3 linked regions of the Struthio camelus genome follow. The protein of the gene in region 3 interacts with the protein of the main gene of each other region in a biochemical or structural test. Links are inferred from orthologs where the notes say so. Each region holds a gene or a part of one and is shown on either strand. Other genes may lie near its edges. The genes, in order: COPG1, COPZ1 and TMED10.

Region 1 (7,924 bases), on a different chromosome or scaffold from region 3:
AAAAGCAAGTCAGTCAGCTAAGGTGGTGGTCTGGGAAAACAACCACTTGTTGATTGCTAGGGTTGGTACAGAAGGCCAGCAGATATTTAGAGCAGAGGGGACAAAGGAGAAGAGACACGGGGCTTTAGGCTGCTCAAGTTATTAAGCCACACGAGAATGAAGACTCTTAAATGAGGCACTCTGAAATCATTACACTTTTGGACACTATCAGATTTAAAAACTACTATTTAGCAAGTACCTGATGACAACAGCAGCATTAAAAAAAAAGAATTTAAGTAGTTAGTTTGAACAGCAAGACAGGGAAGCCATGAGAGTAGGTGAGAACTCAGATAAATGACACATTACATAGACTGATAGTTTCAGGAGGGGGGAACAAGTTGCAAGCCATTGCAGGAGACACTATTTTTAATAAATATCTGTACAGCACTCACAGTGACAAGGCAAGAATGGAGCATCATCATCAGTGCCCTCACAACTGGGAGAAGGGGCAGTTTCCTTTAGTAACATTCCCCCCCCCCCTAAAGTGGTCTATTGCAACAGAGTTGCAAGAAGAATGAGCACCCCAGTCCTGACTCATTCTTAAAGGTTGTTTTTTCTTTTTTAAGGAAGGAAGTAGTTTTAGTTTCTTGTTCACAGACTTATTATTCCCTGCTTACATCTGTAGGTTGAAAGCAATACACATGATGGTAAAGCATCAAACATCATTTACACGTAACAGTAGCTATCAGAGAAAGCAACTGGAAGGGGAGAGACAAGGGAACCATGCAGCAGGTATTAAAATTCCACTACACTTAAGGTTATTCCATACCTCGTAGAGAGAGGGTGAAAGGTTGGAGATGTCAAATTTGTTGCACGAGAGGCAGTAAATTGAAACCATGGCAATAAGCACTGTACTTCCAACATCAAGAAAGCTACAGGCTACACTTTCTATGTTAGCCCAGCACCACCACAAGTGCCACGCTATTACAATGCTGAAAACATTATCTCTGCGTTACACATCTGTATTTCTAATTTGACGGTTTAAGAGCAGGTATAGTTGGTTATGAGCCAAGACAGTTCTGATCACAAGACGACCACTGCACTAGCAGTTTGCATAATCCTGTCCCTAGGCCTGCATAAAGTTCTGGAGTTCCTGAAAAGTCATGATTCCTCATTTATCACTCAGGAATTCCTGTGCGGTACAGAACAAAGTGCAAGATTACAACTGATAAATTTATATCGATGACTAAGAAGAACTTTCTTTGCCTTTCTCCCAAAACCATGATATGGCCAAGTGAAAACCGTTTAATAGAAGCAGTGGATAGTTTTTCCTCTATTGAAGAGTTACCCTGCTCCCTTTAGAGTTCTTCTCCCTTCCCCTTTTACTTCAGTGTTAGAAGAATCAGATTTGTCATATATCAAGGGCTCTAAGAAGTGCAATAAACAATGAATAAATCTGAGATTAAGATCCAGTTCCAACTGTTTTTTGGTCCAGAATTTTTAACTCAGTGCATTACCACTGAATATTAAGAGCTAGTTGTTCTGATAGTAATCTTTACCTCCTGTGGCTCCCTTCCACCTTCCTCCCCTCCCTCCCAGCAAGGTAGAAACATTGAGCTGGAAATAAGCAGGAGAGGCCTCACACTTGATCTGAACAGAAGAGATGAGAGTACAGAAGGGGAAAGGAATTTAGAAGACTGAATAAGAGTTATTACTATTTCAGTTTTCCAAGCCAGGGATATCAAAACTGTTCCCCACCACCACACCAAGCTCCCTTGGGGAGATGAGTTTTCCCCCTTGCTTTCCAGAACCACTTTGCTTTGCCTAGTCATTTAGGACTCGCTACAATATCTCACTGCTAAACAAGGGCAGATGACACAGAAGTTTAAACCAATAGCGGTGCAAGAATGGCAAGAGCATGGAAGCCTCTTTTTACCACTTTGATAATCTAGTGAGTTGACTGTACCACATCCCCACCAAAAATTAAGAAGAAAATGCAGTGTTTTGGGGCCCCTGCTTTCACAAAAAATAGCTCAAAAACCTCACTGCAACCCAAAGCATCTTAATTGAGAGTCTGGGTCAACAGCTTTAAAAGCTGTAACTAGATACAACTTGTTTAACAAAAACTGGATTTAGAAGATGTATTTTAAGCCTTTGCAACATACACTGCTGCCAAGGCCACTTCAGCCTCATGGCTGGGCAATCCTTCAGTGTAAGCATTTACCCCCATTACAGAGAGCATAGGAAATGTATTCCTACTTCCATATTAAAAGCTTAATCATCACAGGCTCTGCTGCATCTCTTGTGTAAGATCTTGGGTCAAAAAGCTCTTAGAGCAACGCTCGAAAGACAGTCACATAGGCCTTAATTCAAAAGATGGTTAGAAGGTGATTTCCCAAAACTCTTTAGGAAAACCGAGCCTGATGAGAACAAACTACCAGCACATCACCCTGCCCCAAATGAAATGAACGTGTACCCTGATGCATTTCATATTTGAAGCTCTTCAATATGAGTTAGCTCAGGAGTAAGAGAAGTTCATTCTGTTCCCTTTAAATCAATGTAAAACTATAACATACAACAGAATTATTATTATTTTTAATCCAAAGCAGAGTTTAGACAGATTTAAGCAGGAAGTGCTAGGTCACTGCAGAGGATGCAATTTAGTTTTTCAGAGAGCAGCTACATCCTGCACTTAAACCCATCACCGCTTTCTACCAGCCATACCATGCCCTGCAAAAACCCCTCCGTACCTGGGGCTCTCACGTTTGTGCCGAGCCGCCTGGGCAGCCTCAACGGAGGAGAGCGATCGCTCTCAGATTTGTCACCTGTCCCCCCCTCCCCAGATAAAATAAACGTCCTGAACCCTACTCTAAACGCTCACCCACCTTTAAAAAAAAAAAAAGTAAAATAATAATAATAAACAGACACATATACACAAAGAGAGCTGCAACCGGGGCGTTGCTTTTGAAACGTTATAGGTGACGAGAGGCGGCCCGGCGGTTGATGGGGAGGAGGAGAAGGCGACAGGCCGTTTCCCTGCCTCTGCGGGAGCCTCCTGGCTCCGAAATCAGGGCAGCCGCGGGGGGAGCCGCCCCCAGCCCCCCTCACGGGCCCCCCCGGCCCCCTCACGGGCCAGGCCCGGCCCGCGGGCGACGCGCAGTCACTGACCCCACGATGGAGACGACGGTGGCGGCCACCATCAGGTAGTTGGTCTGGTAGTAGAGGAGGTTGCTGACCACCCTGTTGTTCCATTTGGAGATGTCCTTGAAGTCGGGCCGGGCGAAGCGGTCGGAGCCGGGGAAGAAGTCGTCCCAGGCCCGCAGCGGCGCTACCTGCACCTCCATGGCTGCTGCCACCTCCTCCTCCTCCTCCGCCGCCGCCGCGGGCACGGCGGCGCCGCGCAGGCCCTAAGAGCGCAGCGGCGCCGCCCCGGGACGGCTCGCTGGTTGGCGGCGGCGGCGGGCGGCGGAGCGGCGCGGGCGGGCGCGCTCTCGCGGCGGCAGGGTCGATGCGCCTAATTTGCTAATCTGCAAGAGATTGAAGAGGCGGAATGGCCCGGGGGGTGGGGGGATCCGGGTGGTGTGCGCTGTGCGGGGAGGTGGGGCAGCCGCTGGCAGGCCCGAGGAAGGCAGCAGGCGCAATAATCACCCCAGCCGGAGAGGCAGTAGTAAAAAATAACGATACAGGGCTTTTTCGAGGCCCTCTGTATATATATAAACGTATATATACACTGTAAATCCTTCAGCGAGGATGCGTTGGAGGGGAAGCGTAGTGCCAGCAGCCCTGGTGATTCCAACTCCGGTAGCGTATGATAAAATTGGTCCCTTCTGACCTCCGTTTTCTGCGGCTTGCGCACACACCTTGCCCGGGCACACGTCCCGCCGGCAGCTCGGTGCGCCCAGTCACGGTGGCAGGACGATAAAGCCCGACGCGAAGCGGAGGCCGGCAGTAAAGCGAGCGTGAGCGCAGCGCCGGAGGTCTGCACTCAATCGCGCTTCCCAAAGTCGGATTTGGGGAGCCAGAGTCCAAAAAATCACAAACCCTTAGCAGCCCGCGGCGCTGTTGATAAACGAAACACGTTTGCAAACGTGACTCGCAGGTAGCAGCCACCTGGCTGTGGGATATTGTGACATGCCGGGGGCTAATTCCACCTCCGGACTTTGTCCCTCGGCCTCCGACAGGGATCGCGACGCTGCGATGGCGGCGTGCTCTGCCCCCCCCCCCGAGGGGCTCTGGGGGAGATGGCAGGGGGACCCCGGGAGGCAGAGGGGGGATCCCCGCTGTTGGAGGGGTTGTGGGGCGAGGGAGGGAGCCCGCTGCGGGGTCCCGGGGTCGCCGTCGCGGCTCTGGCTCTCAAGGCACCGAGCGCAGGCCTGAACGTGATGGCGGCTGCGGTGAGGGATGGTTGGGGGGGGGGGGGAGGAGGCGAAGGAGTCCTCCTGTTGCCATGGAGATTAGCCCTCCCAGCGGCGCGCCCTGTGCCCCGCTCCATCTCTATGGGCCTGCCGCGCGGCGGCGCTCTAGCAAAGCACCGCCCATAGAGGCGCGGCGGGGCGTTCTTCATCTTTCTCACTCTCCCCAGTCCCAGCGCCCCCATCCCCGTGCGCCCCCCCCAGCCCAGTATACCCCCCCCAGCCCAGTGTGCCCCCCTGAGTCCCAATGCCCCCAGTCCCGGTGCCCCTATCCCAGTGTGCCCCCCGCCAGTCGCAGCGTCCCAGTCCCATTCCACACTCCAGGCTCCTCCCCGCCAATCAGGCCTCGCCCCTCCCTCCCCATCCCCGCCCCTCCTGTCAATCACCGCCGTCTCCATGGGCACACCTCCTCTCGCCCCGCCCCCTGAACTGCACCCCCCCCTCGCCCCGCCCCGCCCGGGGCCAGCCGGGAGGCCACGTCCGGGCGGGGCGGGCCGCGCCTGCGCAGTGCGGCCGGCGGTGGTGGCAGTGACAGGCTGGCAGGAAGGGGCGGGCGGCAGGAAGGGGCGGGCGGCGGCGACAGCGACACCGGCGCGGCGGGACGGGCACGGCAGGGCACGGCGAGGGGCGCTCGCACCCACCCACCCACCCAGAAGCACCATGCTGAAGAAGTTCGACAAGAAGGACGAGGAGTCGGGTGAGGGGCGGCCGGGGAGAGCGAGCTGTGAGGGGAGACGGCGGGGGGGGGAGAGAGGGGGCAGCTATGGAGGGAGCCCCCCCCCCCCGCTGCGGCCGTCGGAGGGGGCGGCCGTGAGGGGAGCCCCCCCCCCCGCTGCGGCCGTCGGAGGGGGCGGCCGTGAGGGGAGCCCCCCCCCCCCGCTGCGGCCGTCGGAGGGGGCGGCCGTGAGGGGAGCCCCCCCCCCCCGCTGCGGCCGTCGGAGGGGGCGGCCGTGAGGGGAGCCCCCCCCCCCCCGCTGCGGCCGTCGGAGGGGGCGGCCGTGAGGGGAGAGCCCCCCCCCCCCCGCTGCGGCCGTCGGAGGGGGCGGCCGTGAGGGGAGAGCCCCCCCCCCCCCGCTGCGGCCGTCGGAGGGGGCGGCCGTGAGGGGAGAGCCCCCCCCCCCCCGCTGCGGCCGTCGGAGGGGGCGGCCGTGAGGGGAGAGCCCCCCCCCCCCCGCTGCGGCCGTCGGAGGGGGCGGCCGTGAGGGGAGAGCCCCCCCCCCCCCGCTGCGGCCGTCGGAGGGGGCGGCCGTGAGGGGAGAGCCCCCCCCCCCCCGCTGCGGCCGTCGGAGGGGGCGGCCGTGAGGGGAGAGCCCCCCCCCCCCCGCTGCGGCCGTCGGAGGGGGCGGCCGTGAGGGGAGAGCCCCCCCCCCCCCGCTGCGGCCGTCGGAGGGGGCGGCCGTGAGGGGAGAGCCCCCCCCCCCCCGCTGCGGCCGTCGGAGGGGGCGGCCGTGAGGGGAGAGCCCCCCCCCCCCCGCTGCGGCCGTCGGAGGGGGCGGCCGTGAGGGGAGAGCCCCCCCCCCCCCGCTGCGGCCGTCGGAGGGGGCGGCCGTGAGGGGAGAGCCCCCCCCCCCCCGCTGCGGCCGTCGGAGGGGGCGGCCGTGAGGGGAGAGCCCCCCCCCCCCCGCTGCGGCCGTCGGAGGGGGCGGCCGTGAGGGGAGAGCCCCCCCCCCCCCGCTGCGGCCGTCGGAGGGGGCGGCCGTGAGGGGAGAGCCCCCCCCCCCCCGCTGCGGCCGTCGGAGGGGGCGGCCGTGAGGGGAGAGCCCCCCCCCCCCCGCTGCGGCCGTCGGAGGGGGCGGCCGTGAGGGGAGAGCCCCCCCCCCCCCGCTGCGGCCGTCGGAGGGGGCGGCCGTGAGGGGAGAGCCCCCCCCCCCCGCTGCGGCCGTCGGAGGGGGCGGCCGTGAGGGGAGAGCCCCCCCCCCCCGCTGCGGCCGTCGGAGGGGGCGGCCGTGAGGGGAGAGCCCCCCCCCCCCGCTGCGGCCGTCGGAGGGGGCGGCCGTGAGGGGAGAGCCCCCCCCCCCCGCTGCGGCCGTCGGAGGGGGCGGCCGTGAGGGGAGAGCCCCCCCCCCCCCGCTGCGGCCGTCGGAGGGGGCGGCCGTGAGGGGAGAGCCCCCCCCCCCCGCTGCGGCCGTCGGAGGGGGCGGCCGTGAGGGGAGAGCCCCCCCCCCCCGCTGCGGCCGTCGGAGGGGGCGGCCGTGAGGGGAGCCCCCCCCCCCCCGCTGCGGCCGTCGGAGGGGGCGGCCGTGAGGGGAGCCCCCCCCCCCCGCTGCGGCCGTCGGAGGGGGCGGCTGTGATGGAGGGAGGCCTGGGGCGCCCCAGGGCAGGAGCCCCCTGCGGTTGGGGGGCAGGAGGCGGAGCGGGCGCCGGGGAGCTGCCGTAAGCCGTCTGGGAGGCAGGTAGGCTGGCGGCACAGAAGCTAGCAAGAGCGACGATGTCCGAGGCCGCGCGTTTTGGAGGAATCCCGCCGTTCCCACGCTGTTGGGATGCCATCTGGTTGGCTGCTCCCAGTTGACTTTTGGGACCCACACCTCCACCCAGAATCATCTGACTCTTGAACGGCCGGGTTGCTCCGCAAAACGTTTTGTGCCAATGTAAAGCAGGAGATGGTTTTAGGGCGTAGAATTTGCAGAGGGCAAAGGCAGGTGCCGGATTGTCACGGTGGAAAGAGACGCTGGTGCGTTGGTACTAGCTTTGTACCCGGGGGTTGAATGGTGCGGAGATGAGTGCAATAAGAAGCACTGTGGAAATATTAGAGCAATCTGCTTTAGTACTCCTGTGATTTACAGAAACAGAGACTAAACCATTTGCGAAGTACTCCGAAGTTACCTACCGCATCATCAGGCGCTGGAGTCAGGGACTGAATCTCAAGCATGTATCCCTCAATCCTGTTCACAGCTGCCCAGCTATCAAAGCAGACGCTAACACAGGGTAGAAACTGATTTGTACCTTCTGGTGCTGGGTTTTTGACACACACACACACACGCACACACACAGTCTGCTCTTCTAACAAGACAGCTGCATACCTCAGTGGGTTTGAAATGCTAAGAGCATCAAATAAATGCTGTTTTTAAAGACGGGTTGACTGACTTTTCAAAACATTACACCTGAGTAATGCCTGGTAAGGAAGCGGTTGATATTTCATTTGGTGTGTAATTCATGTGGAATCACTGTTAGATATGACAGTGTTGAATAGCCATCTGAGTGTTTACTGTGTCTCCTGAAGTGCTTTGATTCAATGTAAATCTTAATGATTGTTCTCTGTAGACTGTGCTTACTGTTTGCTTTAATGTGCATTAAATGCCTTGCCCTAATTTTCAGCTTTTTCAGCCTCCCTTTTCTAGGGATTGTAGACATGCTACGCCATGGGAAATATTGCACTTCTAGGAAGATTTTTTTCAAACCCGTTTCTGGAACCCAGTCACGCACACGTACTAGAATTTTACATTAGTTTTATCCTTTCCCCTTGTTTCCCTTTTTTACCTGTCCTATGTAAATGTCTGTGCTTTGTTCCGCCACCTACTGCATTTACAAACTTA
Region 2 (7,230 bases), on a different chromosome or scaffold from region 3:
ACGTGAGCTCCACCTCGGCCAGCGCGGGGGCGGGGCCGAGGGGCGGGGCCAGCGCCGGGGGCGGGGCCAGCGCCGGGAGCCGCCCCATGGCCTCCCCCAGCGCCGCCAGCGCCTGCGGGCACACGGCACCTCATTGGCTGCCCAGTGTTCCCCCCCCCCCACCTCCACGCTTCTGATTGGCCGGGGCCCCTCCAGCCTCCCCTCCCCGTTTCCCCGGGCCCTAGAGCCCCCCTCCCGCTTTCCCCAGGGCGCCCAATGACCCCCCAGGACCCTGACACCCCCCTGGACCCCTCGATACCCCCAGGGCCGACACCTTCCCAGGACCCCTAACCCCAACCCCCAACTCTAGATACCCCCTGTACACCCCCAACCCCCTCCTTGTCCCCCAGCCCCCTAGCCCCCCCACAGGGATCCCTAAATACCCCCTCCAGCCCCCCCAAACCCCATAGACACCCCCCAGGGACCCCTAAATACCCCCTCCAGACCCCCCAGACCCCTTGACACCCCCCAGGGACCCCTAAATACCCCCTCCAGCCCCCCCAGACCCCTATACACCCACCCAGGGACCCCTAAATACCCCCTCCAGCCCCCCCCAGACCCCTATACACCCCCCTAGGGACCCCTAAATACCCCCTCCAGCCCCCCCAGACCCCTATACACCCCCCAGGGACCCCTAAATACCCCCTCCAGCCCCCCCAGACCCCTATACACCCCCCAGGGACCCCTAAATACCCCCTCCATCCCCCCCCAGACCCCTATACACCCGCCCAGGGACCCCTAAATACCCCCTCCAGCCCCCCCAAACCCCATAGACACCCCCCAGGGACCCCTAAATACCCCCTCCAGCCCCCCCAGACCCCTATACACCCACCCAGGGACCCCTAAATACCCCCTCCAGCCCCCCCCAGACCCCTATACACCCACCCAGGGACCCCTAAATACCCCCTCCAGCCCCCCCCAGACCCCTATACACCCCCCTAGGGACCCCTAAATACCCCCTCCATCCCCCCCCAGACCCCTATACACCCCCCAGGGACCCCTAAATACCCCCTCCAGCCCCCCCAGACCCCTATACACCCCCCAGGGACCCCTAAATACCCCCTCCATCCCCCCCCAGACCCCTATACACCCGCCCAGGGACCCCTAAATACCCCCTCCAGCCCCCCCAAACCCCATAGACACCCCCCAGGGACCCCTAAATACCCCCTCCAGCCCCCCCAGACCCCTATACACCCCCCCAGACATCCCTAAATATCCCCTCCAGACCCCTTGACACCCCCCAGGGACCCCTAAATACCCCCTCCAGCCCCCCAGACCCCTATACACCCCCCAGGGACCCCTAAATACCCCCTCCTCGTCCCCCAGCCCCCTAGATCCCCCACAGGGATCCCTAAATACCCCCTCCAGACCCCTTGACACCCCCCTAGGGACCCCTAAATACCCCCTCCAGCCCCCCCAGACCCCTATACACCCACCCAGGGGCCCCTAAATACCCCCTCCAGCCCCCCCCAGACCCCTTGACACCCCCCTAGGGACCCCTAAATACCCCCTCCAGACCCCCCAGACGCCTATACACCCACCCAGGGACCCCTAAATACCCCCTCCAGACCCCCCAGACGCCTATACACCCACCCAGGGACCCCTAAATACCCCCTCCAGCCCCCCCAGACCCCTATACACCCCCCCAGGGACCCCTAAATACCCCCTCCAGCCCCTAGACCCCTTGACACCCCCCCAGGAATCCCTAAATACCCCCCTCCAGACCCCCCCTGTCATCCCCAGACCCCCTAGATACTCCCCAGGGCCCCCCCAGTTCCACCCAGGACCCCCAGTGTCCCCCCAGACTCCTCTATAGCCCCCCAGGGCCCCCCCAGGCCCCCCCGGCGCTCACCTCGGGGGCGCCCGGCAGCCCGCCGGGGTCACACATCCCCGTCCCGCTGCGCCCGCCTCCTCCTGCCGCCCCAGATAAGGGGTTATCGCCCGCCGCACCCGCCACCCCCCCCCACCCGGACGCCTGGGTCCCTCCCCGCCACCCCCCTGCTCCGCCGCCTGCCTCAGTTTCCCCAGGCGGGGAAGGGAGGGGGGCGGCAGCGGGGCCCCCTCTGCCACCGCGGTGCCACCCGCGTGTCCCCGGGGCAAGGCCACCCCCCCCCCGCCCCCGGCTGGGCGCAGGACGCCTGGGTCCCACTTCTGCTTTTGGGGAGGGGGCCACCCGCTTGCGCCAGCCCGTTGCCCAACGCCCGCCGAGGGGTTGCACAAGACCCAACCGACGAGCGGCAGCCGCCCTGGCCGTCCCCCCCCGCCACCCCCGTGTCCCCTGGGGGTGTCAGCACGCCGCCGTGTCCCCCAGCTCGGGTGCCACCCCTGGGCCACCCCTCGCCCTGCACCAGTGCCGCACACGGGGGTCCGGCGGCGGTGAGGCACCCGGGGCACCCTGCAATAACACGGCCCCCTGGAGACCCTACAATAACACAGCACCCGGGGCACCCTGCAATAACACGGCACCCTGGAGACCCTGCAATAACACAGCACCCGGGGCACCCTGCAATAACACGGCACCCTGCAGACCCTACAATAACACAGCACCCGGGGCACCCTGCAATAACACGGCACCCTGCAGACCCTACAATAACACAGCACCCGGGGCACCCTGCAATAACACAGCCCCCTGGAGACCCTACAATAACACAGCACCCGGGGCACCCTGCAATAACACGGCACCCTGCAGACCCTACAATAACACAGCACCCGGGGCACCCTGCAATAACACGGCACCCTGCAGACCCTACAATAACACAGCACCCGGGGCACCCTGCAATAACACGGCCCCCAGGAGACCCTACACAAACACGGCGCCCTGCGCTGGCGCAGCCACTGCAGCCGGCCGGGCCGGGGCCGCCGGGGCCCTTTCCGCCCCCGTTTCCCGTCGTTACCCGCCGGCCGGGGCAGCTGGAACCGCAGGGCCCCGGCGCCGTTATCGCCCCGCGCCGGCGCTGGCGCCGCGCCCCGCGTGTGCCCCGGCCCCGCTGCGGGCAAACCGCCCCGGCGCTCGCACACGCGTGTGCCGAGAGCTGGGCACGGAAACCTGCGTAGCCAACGCCGGGCACACGCACTGGTCCGCAGGTGCACGCGTGCACCGAGCCCTGGGCACACGCGTGCACCAGACCCAGGGCACACGCATGCACCAGACCCAGGGCACACGCGTGCACCAGACCCAGGGCACACGCATGTACCAACCCCTGAGCACACGCTTGCACCAGACCCAGGGCACACGCATGTACCAACCCCTGAGCACACGCTTGCACCAGACCCAGGGCACACGCATGTACCAACCCCTGAGCACACGCTTGCACCAGACCCAGGGCACACGCATGTACCAACCCCTGAGCACACGCTTGCACCAGACCCAGGGCACACGCATGTACCAACCCCTGAGCACACGCGTGCACCAGACCCAGGGCACACGCATGTACCAACCCCTGAGCACACGCGTGCACCAGACCCAGGGCACACGCGTGCACCGATCCCTGGGCACACGCATGCACCAGACCCAGGGCGCACGCGTGCACCGAGCCCTGGGCACACGCTTGCACCAGACCCAGGGCACACGCATGTACCAACCCCTGAGCACACGCGTGCACCAGACCCAGGGCACACGCGTGCACCGAGCCCTGGGCACACACGTGCACCAGACCCGGGGCACACACGCGTGCACCGACCCTTTTGCACATGCGTGCACTGATCCCTGGGCACACACATGCACCGGCCCCTGAGCACACGCGTGCACCAACCCCTGGGCACACACATGCACCAGACCCAAGGCACACGCGTGCACCGAGCCCTGAGCACACGCGTGCACCGATCCCTGGGCACACGCGTGCACCGATCCCCGAGCCCGCGCCTGCCCTGACCCCGGCCCACGTCCCCCAGCCGTGTGGCCCCGTGTCGCCCCACGGGAGCACACGCGTGTCCTGCCGCGCGGGCTCCTACCTGCCGCGGGTCACCGCCGGCGTCCGGGGGCTGGTGCTCAGGGCACGGCCATCGCGGGCGCCTCTGGGGACACGGCGGGGACACGGCGCAGCGCCAGCCCCCGGGGCGGCCCCGGCCCCCGCCCGCCCCCGGCACCCGCCGCAGGGACACGGGCACGGCGGGGGGGGACGGGACATGGGGACAGGGGAATGGGGGGTGCAGGGACAGGGGACGTGGGGGACACGGGGACAAGGAGACACGGGGACAGGGGTGAGGATGGGGACTTGGGGACATGGGGGCAAAGAAAGAGTGGGGGACAGGGGGACAGGGACAGAGGGGGGACCTGGGGCAACAGGACATGGGGACAGGGATGGGGACATGGGGACAGGGATGGGGAGGGGACAGGGATGGGGATTTGGGGACAGGGACAAGGATGGGGACAGGAGATGGGGGACAGGGGGCAGGGACGGGGTGGGGACACGGGGATGGGGGAGTGGGGGACATGAGGACAAAGGGACATGGGGATGGGGACATGGGACAGGGACAAGGGGACATGGGGACAGGGGAATGGGGGGCACAGGGATGGGGACAAGGGGACAGGGAGGGGGACTTGGGGACATGAGGACAGGGACAAGGATGGGGACAGGAGACGGGGGACGGGGACAGGGTTGGGGACACAGGGGACACAGCTCCCCCCCCCCCAGCAGGGCCCGGCGTTATCAGTAGGGCCCAGGGCATCCGCCCCCCCCCCCCCCCCCCGCAGGGGGCCCAGGCGTCCGGCCCCCCCCCCCCCATGGCGTGTCCCTGCGCGTGCGTGGCCGCCCCGTGTCCCCCTCCGTGTCCCTGCGTGTCCACGTCCCCCCGGCCCTGCACGTCGGGTTGGCCCCGTGTCCGTGTCACCGCGTCCCCCCCCCCGGTCCCCCCGTCCGCGTTGTGCCCACCACCGTCCCCCGTGTCCCTGTTGACCCCGTGTCCATGTCCCTGTCACCACGTCCCCCTGTCCCCTGTGTCCGTGTTGTCCCCGTGTCCATGTCCCCCTCCCCATCTCTCTGTGTCCCCCATGCCCATGTTGACCCTGTGTCCCTGTCCCCATGTCCCCTGTGTCCCTCTCCCTGTCTCCAACGTGTCTCCATGTCCCCATGTCCATGTTGACCCCTCACCCGTGTCCCTGTCCCCGTGTCCCCCATGTCCATGTTGACCCCTCACCCGTGTCCCTGTCCCCGTGTCCCCCATGTCCATGTTGACCCCTCACCCGTGTCCCTGTCCCCATGTCCCCCATGTCCATGTTGATCCCTCACCCGTCTCCCTGTCCCTATGTCCCTGTGTGCTCATGTCCATGTTGACCCTACGTCCCCCAAGTCCCCGTGGCCGTGTTGACTCCATGTCCCCACGTCCCCATGTCCATGTTGACCGCTCGCCCGTGTCCCTGTGTCCCCATGTCCCCCATGTCGTGTCCGTGTCCCCGTGTCCCCCCGTCCCCCCTGTCCCCGTGTTCCCCCGTCCCCCATGTCCCCGTGTCCCTGCAGTGTCCTGCGGCCCTGTCGAGCCCGTGGCCCTGTCCCTGTGTCCCCCCCGTGTCCCCCGATGGCCGTGCTGATCCTGTCCCTGTGTCCCCATGTCCCTGTGTCCCCCTGTCCCCCGTACCCCGTGTCCCCATGTCCCCCTGTCCCCCGTGTCCCCCCGTGGCCGTGTCCCCGCAGCATCCTGCGGCCCTGTCCCCGTGTCCCCCCCGTGTCCCCCCATGGCCGTGCTGATCCTATCCCTGTGTCCCTGTCCCCCATGTCCCCCGTCTCTGTGTCCCCCTGTCCCCCGTGTCCCCCTGTCCCCGTCCCCCATGTCCCCGTCCCCCATCTCCCCGTCCCCCTGTCCCCGTGTCCCCCCCGTGTCCCCCCATGGCCGTGCTGATCCTGTCCCTGTGTCACCGTCCCCCATGTCCCCCGACCCTGTGTCCCCCTTTCCCCCGTGTCCCCATGTCCCCCTGTCCCTGTGTCCCCCCGTCCCCCATGTCCCCGTGTCCCTGCAGCATCCTGCGGCCCTGTCGAGCCCGTGGCCCTGTCCCCGTGTCCCCCCCGTGTCCCCCCATGGCCGTGCTGATCCTGTCCCTGTGTCCCTGTCCCCCATGTCCCCCGTCCCTGTGTCCCCCTGTCCACCGTGTCCCCATGTCCCCCTGTCCTCCATGTCCCCCGTGTCCCCATGTCCCCCTGTCCCCGTGTCCCCCCCGTGTCCCCCCATGGCTGTGCTGATCCTGTCCCTGTGTCCCTGTCCCCCATGTCCCCCGTCCCTGTGTCCCCCTGTCCACCGTGTCCCCATGTCCCCCTGTCCTCCATGTCCCCCGTGTCCCCATGTCCCCCTGTCCCCGTGTCCCCCCCGTGACCCCCATGGCCGTGCTGATCCTGTCCCTGTGTCCCCGTCCCCATGTCCCCCGTCCCCATGTCCCCCTGTCCCCCGTGTCCCCCTGTCCCCCGTGTCCCCATGTCCCCCGTCCCCCTGTCCCCCGTGTCCCCGTGTCCCCGTCCCCCATGTCCCCCTGTCCCCGTCCCCCATGTCCCCGTGTCCCCCGTCCCCCTGTCCCCCGTGTCCCCCTGTCCCCCGTCCCCCTGTCCCCCTGTCCCCCGTGTCCCCCTGTCCCCCGTGTCCCCATGTCCCCCGTCCCCCTGTCCCCCCTGTCCCCCGTGTCCCCGTGTCCCCGTCCCCCATGTCCCCGTCCCCCATGTCCCCGTGTCCCCCGTCCCCCTGTCCCCCGTGTCCCCCTGTCCCCCGTGTCCCCCTGTCCCCCGTCCCCCTGTCCCCCTGTCCCCCGTGTCCCCCTGTCCCCCGTGTCCCCATGTCCCCCGTCCCCCTGTCCCCCCTGTCCCCCGTGTCCCCGTGTCCCCGTCCCCCGTGTCCCCCTGTCCCCGTCCCCCATGTCCCCCTGTCCCCCGTGTCCCCCTGTCCCCCGTGTCCCCGTGTCCCCGTCCCCCATGTCCCCCTGTCCCCCGTGTCCCCCTGTCCCCCGTGTCCCCGTGTCCCCGTCCCCCATGTCCCCCTGTCCCCCGTGTCCCCCTGTCCCCCGTGTCCCCGTGTCCCCGTCCCCCATGTCCCCCTGTCCCCCGTGTCCCCGTGTCCCCGTCCCCCATGTCCCCGTCCCCCATGTCCCCGTGTCCCCCCCGTGTCCCCCCATGGCCGTGCTGCTCCTGTCCCTGTGCCCCCACGGTCCCCCCTCCCCCCACCTGACCCCAGAGAGGCCAAAGGTCAAAGGTAACGGCCTCGCGCCCACTGGGG
Region 3 (7,124 bases):
GCAAACCCTGTTTATTTAGCTATATGACCAGGACACAGTATCTGGGGTCTCTGAGGCAGATTACAGGGGAGGTAGAGCAGTGTGGTGCTGATTTATGGCTGTTTAGCTATTGTTTATTTTTAGCTCATTGAATTAGATCCCTATCTGGATCATGATCATGATGGTGACTTAGTAGTTATATCCCAGCAATGAGTTAGGATATATCCCTTTAGAAGAAGAGGTTTTGCACTTCTCAGAAGACGTGGACAAGCAACTTTGCACGGGTTAGTAAAAACAGTGATTAGTATCACAAGGCTTACGTAGTTTATGCAGAAGTTTCTCAGTAGCTTGTAGTGCATTGCCAGATGTAAGACAGAATGCAAAAGGATTAGATCATAAAAGTAATTCTAGAATAGCTTTTAAGAACAAAATTGTTTCAACTTTTTATTGTTAAAAACAAAAAAAATGCAGAAATGGCAAAGCAGCTGAGGCAGAAGCAGAAAAAAAGTCTAATTACATCATTTACACACATTCATACATATTGTTTCATGGAGACAGCAAATTAAATAGTGTTGTTTTCTGAGATTCACCCTGGATACAAGATACATTTTAGTAAGGCAATACTAAGTATTGCCAACAATCTGCCAATTTCTTTTCCAGTTGAGAAAACAATTAAAAATTTGGTGGGAAAGAGCTTATTTTCCTCTGCAGCTACTGCCGCCTCACACTACAGAAGTATTAACAAGTTTCCAGGGCTTATTTGTTAATATGGAGATGAAAGCTAAATAATTTGTCGCTCTCTTCTTTATTTTCCAGTCCGCAACTAAACTGCACTGGGATGTTTGAAAATATAAGAAACGTACAGGGACAAAATGGTTTAAATTTTGGCAACGTGTCGCGATTTGCAGATGATAAGGTAGAATGGTATACACCCATTTGTCTACAGATTAATGGCAGCAAGAACAAATACTCGCCTGTAGCTAGTTGCCAAGCTCATATAATGCGTAACATTGCAAATTATGCTAAAATAGGTCATCATTTTATCTTGAAAGTTGTGTAACAAGTTATCAATCTTTTTTTCTCATCTGTTAAGAGTTTCAGAATTACAGGAAGTATTTCATTTTGCCAGCCTGGAATATGTGGAAATGTTAAGGCATGTCCCTGCAAGACTGTTATTTCTAAACCCGCAGCTGAAAGGATCTTAAAATGCCTTCCATCTGCTAGAAGTTACTTTGCACATTAAATGAAGATTGCCCCATTGCATTTGTAAGTGCTTCAGAGAGCGAAAAGATGGAAATTGTAAAGAGCATATCAGTACTACTTTCTTTCACAACATGCTAAAGCTCTAAGGCGTTTATGGTACAATTTTATAATTAGAACAATCTGAACTTGTAGCAGCTTATAGCATAATACCGTCATACAAGGGAAAGTTACAACAAAAGATCGATGATAAGTTTGTTGGTCATAAATGTAACTCTTATCTAAAAATGTACCATGACAAAATGGACCAAATAGGAAGGGACTGTATTCAGTATATATTTACTCTTTAATAGCTGACATCACACTTTGATTTTAGAAAATGAGGTTACTTTAACAGGACTGAGCCACTTTCTCTGATATTTACCCCAGAAAATAAGGCATCATTGAATGTTTTGAACTTGAGAGAAGATTGGCTACATATCACTGGTATGAGGAATGTTCTGCATAGAGAGATTTCTAGTGTTGTGCATGTTTCATCAGGAATTTTGTGGTAGAACATTACAACATTTCATATCTTTAGATTCAAGTAATCTTATGTTTCTTAAAGCTTGTGAAATAATATCTATTTTTGCCTTAAGTGCCATAATAGAAAGAATGTTTTTATTGTGCAAGTATACTTTGACATATTGCAGAAACCAGCTAAATATTTGTTACAGTTGAGCTTAAAATTAATTTAATTGTCCATGTAAGGAAAGATTTGTGAACTGATCAAAAAAAAAAAAAAAAGATGCACTGAAATGTGCAACAAGTAACCCTAAGTACTACTTCGAACAATAAACTGAAACTTAAAATAATGGACTGTATATTTGAGTACAGTCAACGTTCATTTAAAACATATAGGCTATGCTAAGGAAAACTGTGTTTCCCTAAAATGTCATTTAAATGTAGGAAAAGGCTTTGTGTAGGTCTTTTTTTTTTTTTTTTTTTTCATAAGGGTTCTCTTTATTTCCCTCCAAGCAAAGAGGTCAGTCTGTCTCTGTACAGTTGGGCATAGTTTCTGTTCCTTCATATGAAGGCCAGATCAGCTTGTTGCTTGAGTTAACGAGAAACGAACCCTGCCTTCATCATATCGTCTCAGGAAATATGAGTATATGCTTGTAAAAAACAGAGCTGTTCTTTAAAGCATTCTGGTCATGGCTTGGCCTGTCTTGGTCTGCGTGTAAGCATCTAGTCATAACATGTAGTAGTTTAAGTCTCTTAAGATTGAAGTTTGCACCGATTCCTGCTTATTACTTGCCATTAATGATATGTTTTGCCCACAGAGAGGAATGGTGACATTTAAAATAAATAAAAGTGAAACAACAGCGTAATAGGTATTTTTACACAAGCTAATAAAAATAGAAGAGCTTTTTTGTTGTTTTCTAGCAATATTACTATTTGTCCATTTCTTCTCCCTTTTCCTTACTTCCAAACACACCCAGATACTTGCAACCAATCCCAGGAGCTGACTACAGGTTTGGTAATCCTAACTGCGTATTTAGGAAATTTTCCTCCTTCCTTTCTCCCTGTGTCAAGGCAAGTTACGCTGAGGAACACTGCAAAGGCCAAAGGAATAAAAAGAGGAGAGTATTAATGCAGCTGGTGGGTTATTTCATGCTGTGTTCATAAAAGCTAAAATACTTAAAGTATCAGAGACCAAATGAAAAAAAAAAAACTAGATCTGAGCATACACTGGAAAGAAAAACAATTCTCCAAAGTGTCTTTAAAAATCATCATAATTATATTTAGTGGCAAAAACCGTAGCCTCTCTCTATCATTATTGTATGGTATTGCATGGTGCTGATCTACAGAAGTAAGACATCTGGTAAGACAAAATTTTCCTGGCTGAAGAAAACAGAGGGAAAATTACTCAGAAACTTTAAAAAAAAAATTTAGAAAGGGCACTGCATCTTCCACTGAAAGACTTGGCAGACGTCCAACCGTATGAAACGCTCTGGGAGTCTGTAACAGTTTAGATGGCTTGTACGTCCGTTGTGTGCACCTCTCTACCTTAACACATTTCGATTTTGTTAACTCATGACTGTGTTGTGTAACAGATCATTTCTTTAAAAATGTAACAGTCCACCAGTAAGAGGCAATGTTTAATACCTAACTCCAGCGAATACCCTTGTGCCTGGAGAAGACGATCAGAAACACACTTAAACTCTCAACGTTGGAAGCTGGTGCAGGAGGCCCCGAGTGTTGGTTGCAGGACAGAGGAGAAGGGGGTCCGGCGGCCCTAGGGTTTCCTGCGGCGGGTCTGGGTGACGCAGGGCGCGCTCGGGCACACACTGCGCCGCCGTGCACAAACCCCACCGACCCCACGGGGCCTGCGCGCGGCCTCCCTACCACGGCGGAGGGACGTGACCGGCCCTTTTCTGTTGGCCGCCAGTCTAGGCCGGCGCCCGCAGCCTTCCCTCAAGCGCGGCGTTTTGGGTCGCTACTCTAAAATTACCGACTGTGATTTAAGGCGCGCGGTAGCGCTTGCGCTACGTTCATTTTACTCTTCTGCCTTCCGACGTTACTGTTAACAGCGAGAGTTTTTGGGGGGACAGAACCGGGTGTGAACCTGCTCCCGGGCCTCCCGCACGTTTGCAACCTTCATGGCAGTTTTCTGAAGCCATCATTTACACTTTAAAAGAAAAATAGCGTCGCTTTGCCACGATCCCGGGTCCATTTTTATTCCCCCTGCTCCCCGCCGGCAGCCGAACAACCCTCAGCCCTCATACTCCAGCCCCCCCATCCCCCCCCCGCGGCTGCCCACACGCCCGCAGCCGCCCCTCCCCCCCAACCGCCGCCGCTTCCCGCCCCCCGCGCGCGCCCCGCCCCCTCCCCCCGCGCCGCGCCCGCGCGCGAGCCGCGCGCGCCCCCTGCGCTGACGCAGCGGCGGTGGCGGCGGTCACGTGGCGCGGAGGAGGACGCCCGGCCTGTCGCACCCGGAGCCGCCGCCGCCGCCGCCGCCATGCCGCTGCCGCCCGGCCGCCCCCGCCTCAGGCTGGCCCTGGCCCCGGCGCTGCTGCTGCTGCTGCTGGTGGGCCCGGCGCGGCCGATCTCCTTCCAGCTGCCGGGCAAGGCCCGCAAGTGCCTGCGGGAGGAGATTCACCGCGACACGCTGGTCACGGGCGAGTACGAGATCGGCGCGCCGCCGGGCTCCTCCACCGGCCCCTCCGCCAACCTCAAGGTGCGAGCGGGGCGGATCGCGGCCCCCCGGACCGCCGCCGGCGCCCCGGCCCGGCCCGGCCCGGCCCGACCCGCCCGCGCGCGGCCGCCGCCGCCGTGACAGGGCCGCGCGGGGCCGGGGCCGGCGCCGGACGTGGCGGGGGCGGGGCGCGGGCCATGGCGCCGCGCGCGGCCCGCACGTAACGGCCGCGGGGCTGCGGGCGGCTCTGTCCAGCGGCGGGGCGGCCTCGGCCGCGGCCCGGGCGGGCTTTCTGCGAGCGGAGGCGGCAGCAGCTGCGGGGCGCCGGGGAGCTGCCGGCCTGCGGCGGGGCCTGCGGCAGCCTGCCGTGCCGTGCCGTGCGCCCTCTGCACACCGGCGGTGCTTCAGGGCCGCAGGACAGGGCCCAGCGCTGCTGTGGCGGGTTCGCTGCGCTCTCCGTGTGGCGTGGCGGGGTTACGGGTTGTGACCCCAGGCCTCCGCCGGCGTTGTTCTCTCTGCGTGGCACGGAGGGACTGTGGCTCAGAGCGCCAGGCTGCGGCAGGTTTGTTTTCCGTAGGTGGCGGACTTCCAGCCTGTGGGCCCTCCGTCCTGACGTGGCCTGTGTTTCCATGTATAATGCAGCACATACATGGGTTATAGTTACAGATGGTGGCAGGCCTTGCCTTTTACGTTTCTCATGATGGGAAGGATTGGGGCGCCTCAGTGACAGACAGCTTCCAGTGACGTAGTAGAGGATTGTGACAGGGCTTGCTTTGTGTTAGGGAACAGTGTGGGTGAACAGCTCGCCCAGCGTTTGCTATCTGGGGATTAGGTAATGGGGGAGAAAGGTAGGTAACAGCTTAAGAAGTTACACCAAGGCTTGCTGTCCCCATGAGATATCATAGGGGGAGGCATGTGGATTATAAGACATGTGGCACCACGTGGGGGATGGGCCGCTGAGATAAAGCCGTCCTAGGCCTGCCTTTGTTGACACTGTGTAGGGAGGAGAGAATTACAGTGACGTGGCTGTTCAAGAGCTCCATCTCTGCCTATAGCCTGGTACAAAGGGGCCAGGCAGCAGATCATAGTGAAAAGGTCAGATGGGGGCTTAGAAACAAGCTTTTCATAAGCAGTTACTCTGTTCTTTCTGTATCATATGACTTACATGGATTTTAATGGGGCATTTTGGCATACTACCACTGCTGCGGTGTTCACTGCAGGGAAGAAAGCACCAAGATGATAGCCTGAAGGACCTTTACAGAGTATAGGGGAAAGATCAGCAGAATATATATGTGAATAATAAATCTATCTATGTGACAGGAAGCTATTAAAATAACACTTCAGCAGCTTCACTTTAATTCTGTTCATTATCTTCCTTCCCTGGGCTTTCTTCTCATTTCCCAACTATCCAAGTAAGGTCTGTTACTAATCACTCTAACTTAATCCATTTGCAGAAGCTTGCTTTCTGTCCGTCTTCTCTCTGAGCTTCCAGAGGATTTTAAAAGTAAGTGTACAAGCAAACAGTGACAAGGCTGTCTGCTCAAGAATCTCTAGGTTCAGAAATGGGAGTGTTCAGTGAGCACTGTGAGATTTTTCTGAAATCATGTTACCCTTGCAGCATCTGCCTTGAAATACCTGAAAACCGTGGGATAGGGGTAGTCTTGCTTGGTTATGTTTCTGGATTGTTGCCTTTTTTTTTTTTTTAATTGTTTTGTGCTGTATAGTTACATCATTTGTAACAGGAAACTTATCTGTATATAGACAGAACCAAAACAGCTTTGTGTCTGAGTTTGTGCAGGAAAGGTTAGTTCAGGGCGTGATATCTGCAGGTGGTCTCCCTCCTTCTGCACTGGATGGTCTGTTTCAGTTCCCTGAATTGGGCCACCAGAACGTAGGAGGTTGGTAGTTAATCTTGGCTGAGCTCAGTATGGTTCCTGTCCATGAGCTAAGTTCTGTGTTTGTGATATTCCAACACTAACAGTGGCACCCTCTGTTTCTGAGGAATCTGCCCAATTTGCCAGCTGGCTATGGAAGGGAGGCTTTTGGGTGGATGACGTCTTGCTTGGGCCCAGTCACGTGCATCTGTCCATTGTTGAGGCTGGCAGTTTGGGGAGTTGTTGGGCTGTTTGTCAAGGGAGAACAATGCCCTGTCTGTGGAGGATGGTGTTACTGTAAATAACGTTAGAATATCATGAAAAATCCCTTTCAGGTCAACTTCTCCCCCACAAGTGTTCTGACTGGGTTACTTGCAACTTCTCCCACCCCCGCATGCCCAACTGAATGGGTAATGTATTTGCCTGATTTGGGTAACAGTGTCCAATATTGAAGGAAGCAGACAGCAGAGCTTTTACTGTCTGAGATCCTGTTTATGAGCGGGCTATTGCTAGAGCTGTAAAGGACAAAAATGGATCAAGCTGCACAGTATCCTTTAGCTAAAGCTTAGCTCTGGTCCCTAGAAATCTCTAGAGGACAGTGCTCAAAATAATAGGGACAACAGTAACAAGAACTGTTTCTTGAGACTGAGAAGCCAGTGGGCACACCGTGCAGTATGTATGTGTGTGTGTGTGTATAATATATACACACGTATGTATATATATAATTAGACTGGCATCTTGGTTAATCAGAGCTGCGCTGTTGAATAGTGTGCGCTGCATGGTCACCAAAACATATACTTTTATGTCATGTCTGTGTGGTCGGATAGAGATGGCTCTGCAGTGCAGTTAGGCCTGCTTGCTTGAGCTTCCAGTGGTTCGGTGGCTTGTCCCTG

The links.
Region 1: the proteins of TMED10 (region 3) and COPG1 form a complex in vitro, tested with the Homo sapiens proteins (2 studies listed by BioGRID). The link is inferred for Struthio camelus from reciprocal best matches to the Homo sapiens genes TMED10 and COPG1.
Region 2: the proteins of TMED10 (region 3) and COPZ1 form a complex in vitro, tested with the Homo sapiens proteins (2 studies listed by BioGRID, with this or other methods). The link is inferred for Struthio camelus from reciprocal best matches to the Homo sapiens genes TMED10 and COPZ1.

Annotation. Positions count from the first base shown.
Region 1 is NC_090955.1:6,907,848-6,915,771, forward strand, and holds the start of COPG1 (coatomer subunit gamma-1), read left to right. Parts: upstream 1-4,921; 5' UTR 4,922-5,051; coding exon 5,052-5,088; intron 5,089-7,924. Other genes in the region: ARL6IP5 (PRA1 family protein 3), read right to left, coding at 3,148-3,323. UniProt on the Homo sapiens protein: The coatomer is a cytosolic protein complex that binds to dilysine motifs and reversibly associates with Golgi non-clathrin-coated vesicles, which further mediate biosynthetic protein transport from the ER, via the Golgi up to the trans Golgi network.
Region 2 is NC_090969.1:2,884,975-2,892,204, reverse strand, and holds the start of COPZ1 (coatomer subunit zeta-1), read left to right. Parts: upstream 1-4,196; 5' UTR 4,197-4,239; intron 4,240-7,230. Other genes in the region: NFE2 (transcription factor NF-E2 45 kDa subunit), read right to left, coding at 1-112, 1,892-1,927. UniProt on the Homo sapiens protein: The coatomer is a cytosolic protein complex that binds to dilysine motifs and reversibly associates with Golgi non-clathrin-coated vesicles, which further mediate biosynthetic protein transport from the ER, via the Golgi up to the trans Golgi network.
Region 3 is NC_090946.1:57,925,010-57,932,133, reverse strand, and holds the start of TMED10 (transmembrane emp24 domain-containing protein 10), read left to right. Parts: upstream 1-4,072; 5' UTR 4,073-4,180; coding exon 4,181-4,399; intron 4,400-7,124. UniProt on the Homo sapiens protein: Cargo receptor involved in protein vesicular trafficking and quality control in the endoplasmic reticulum (ER) and Golgi.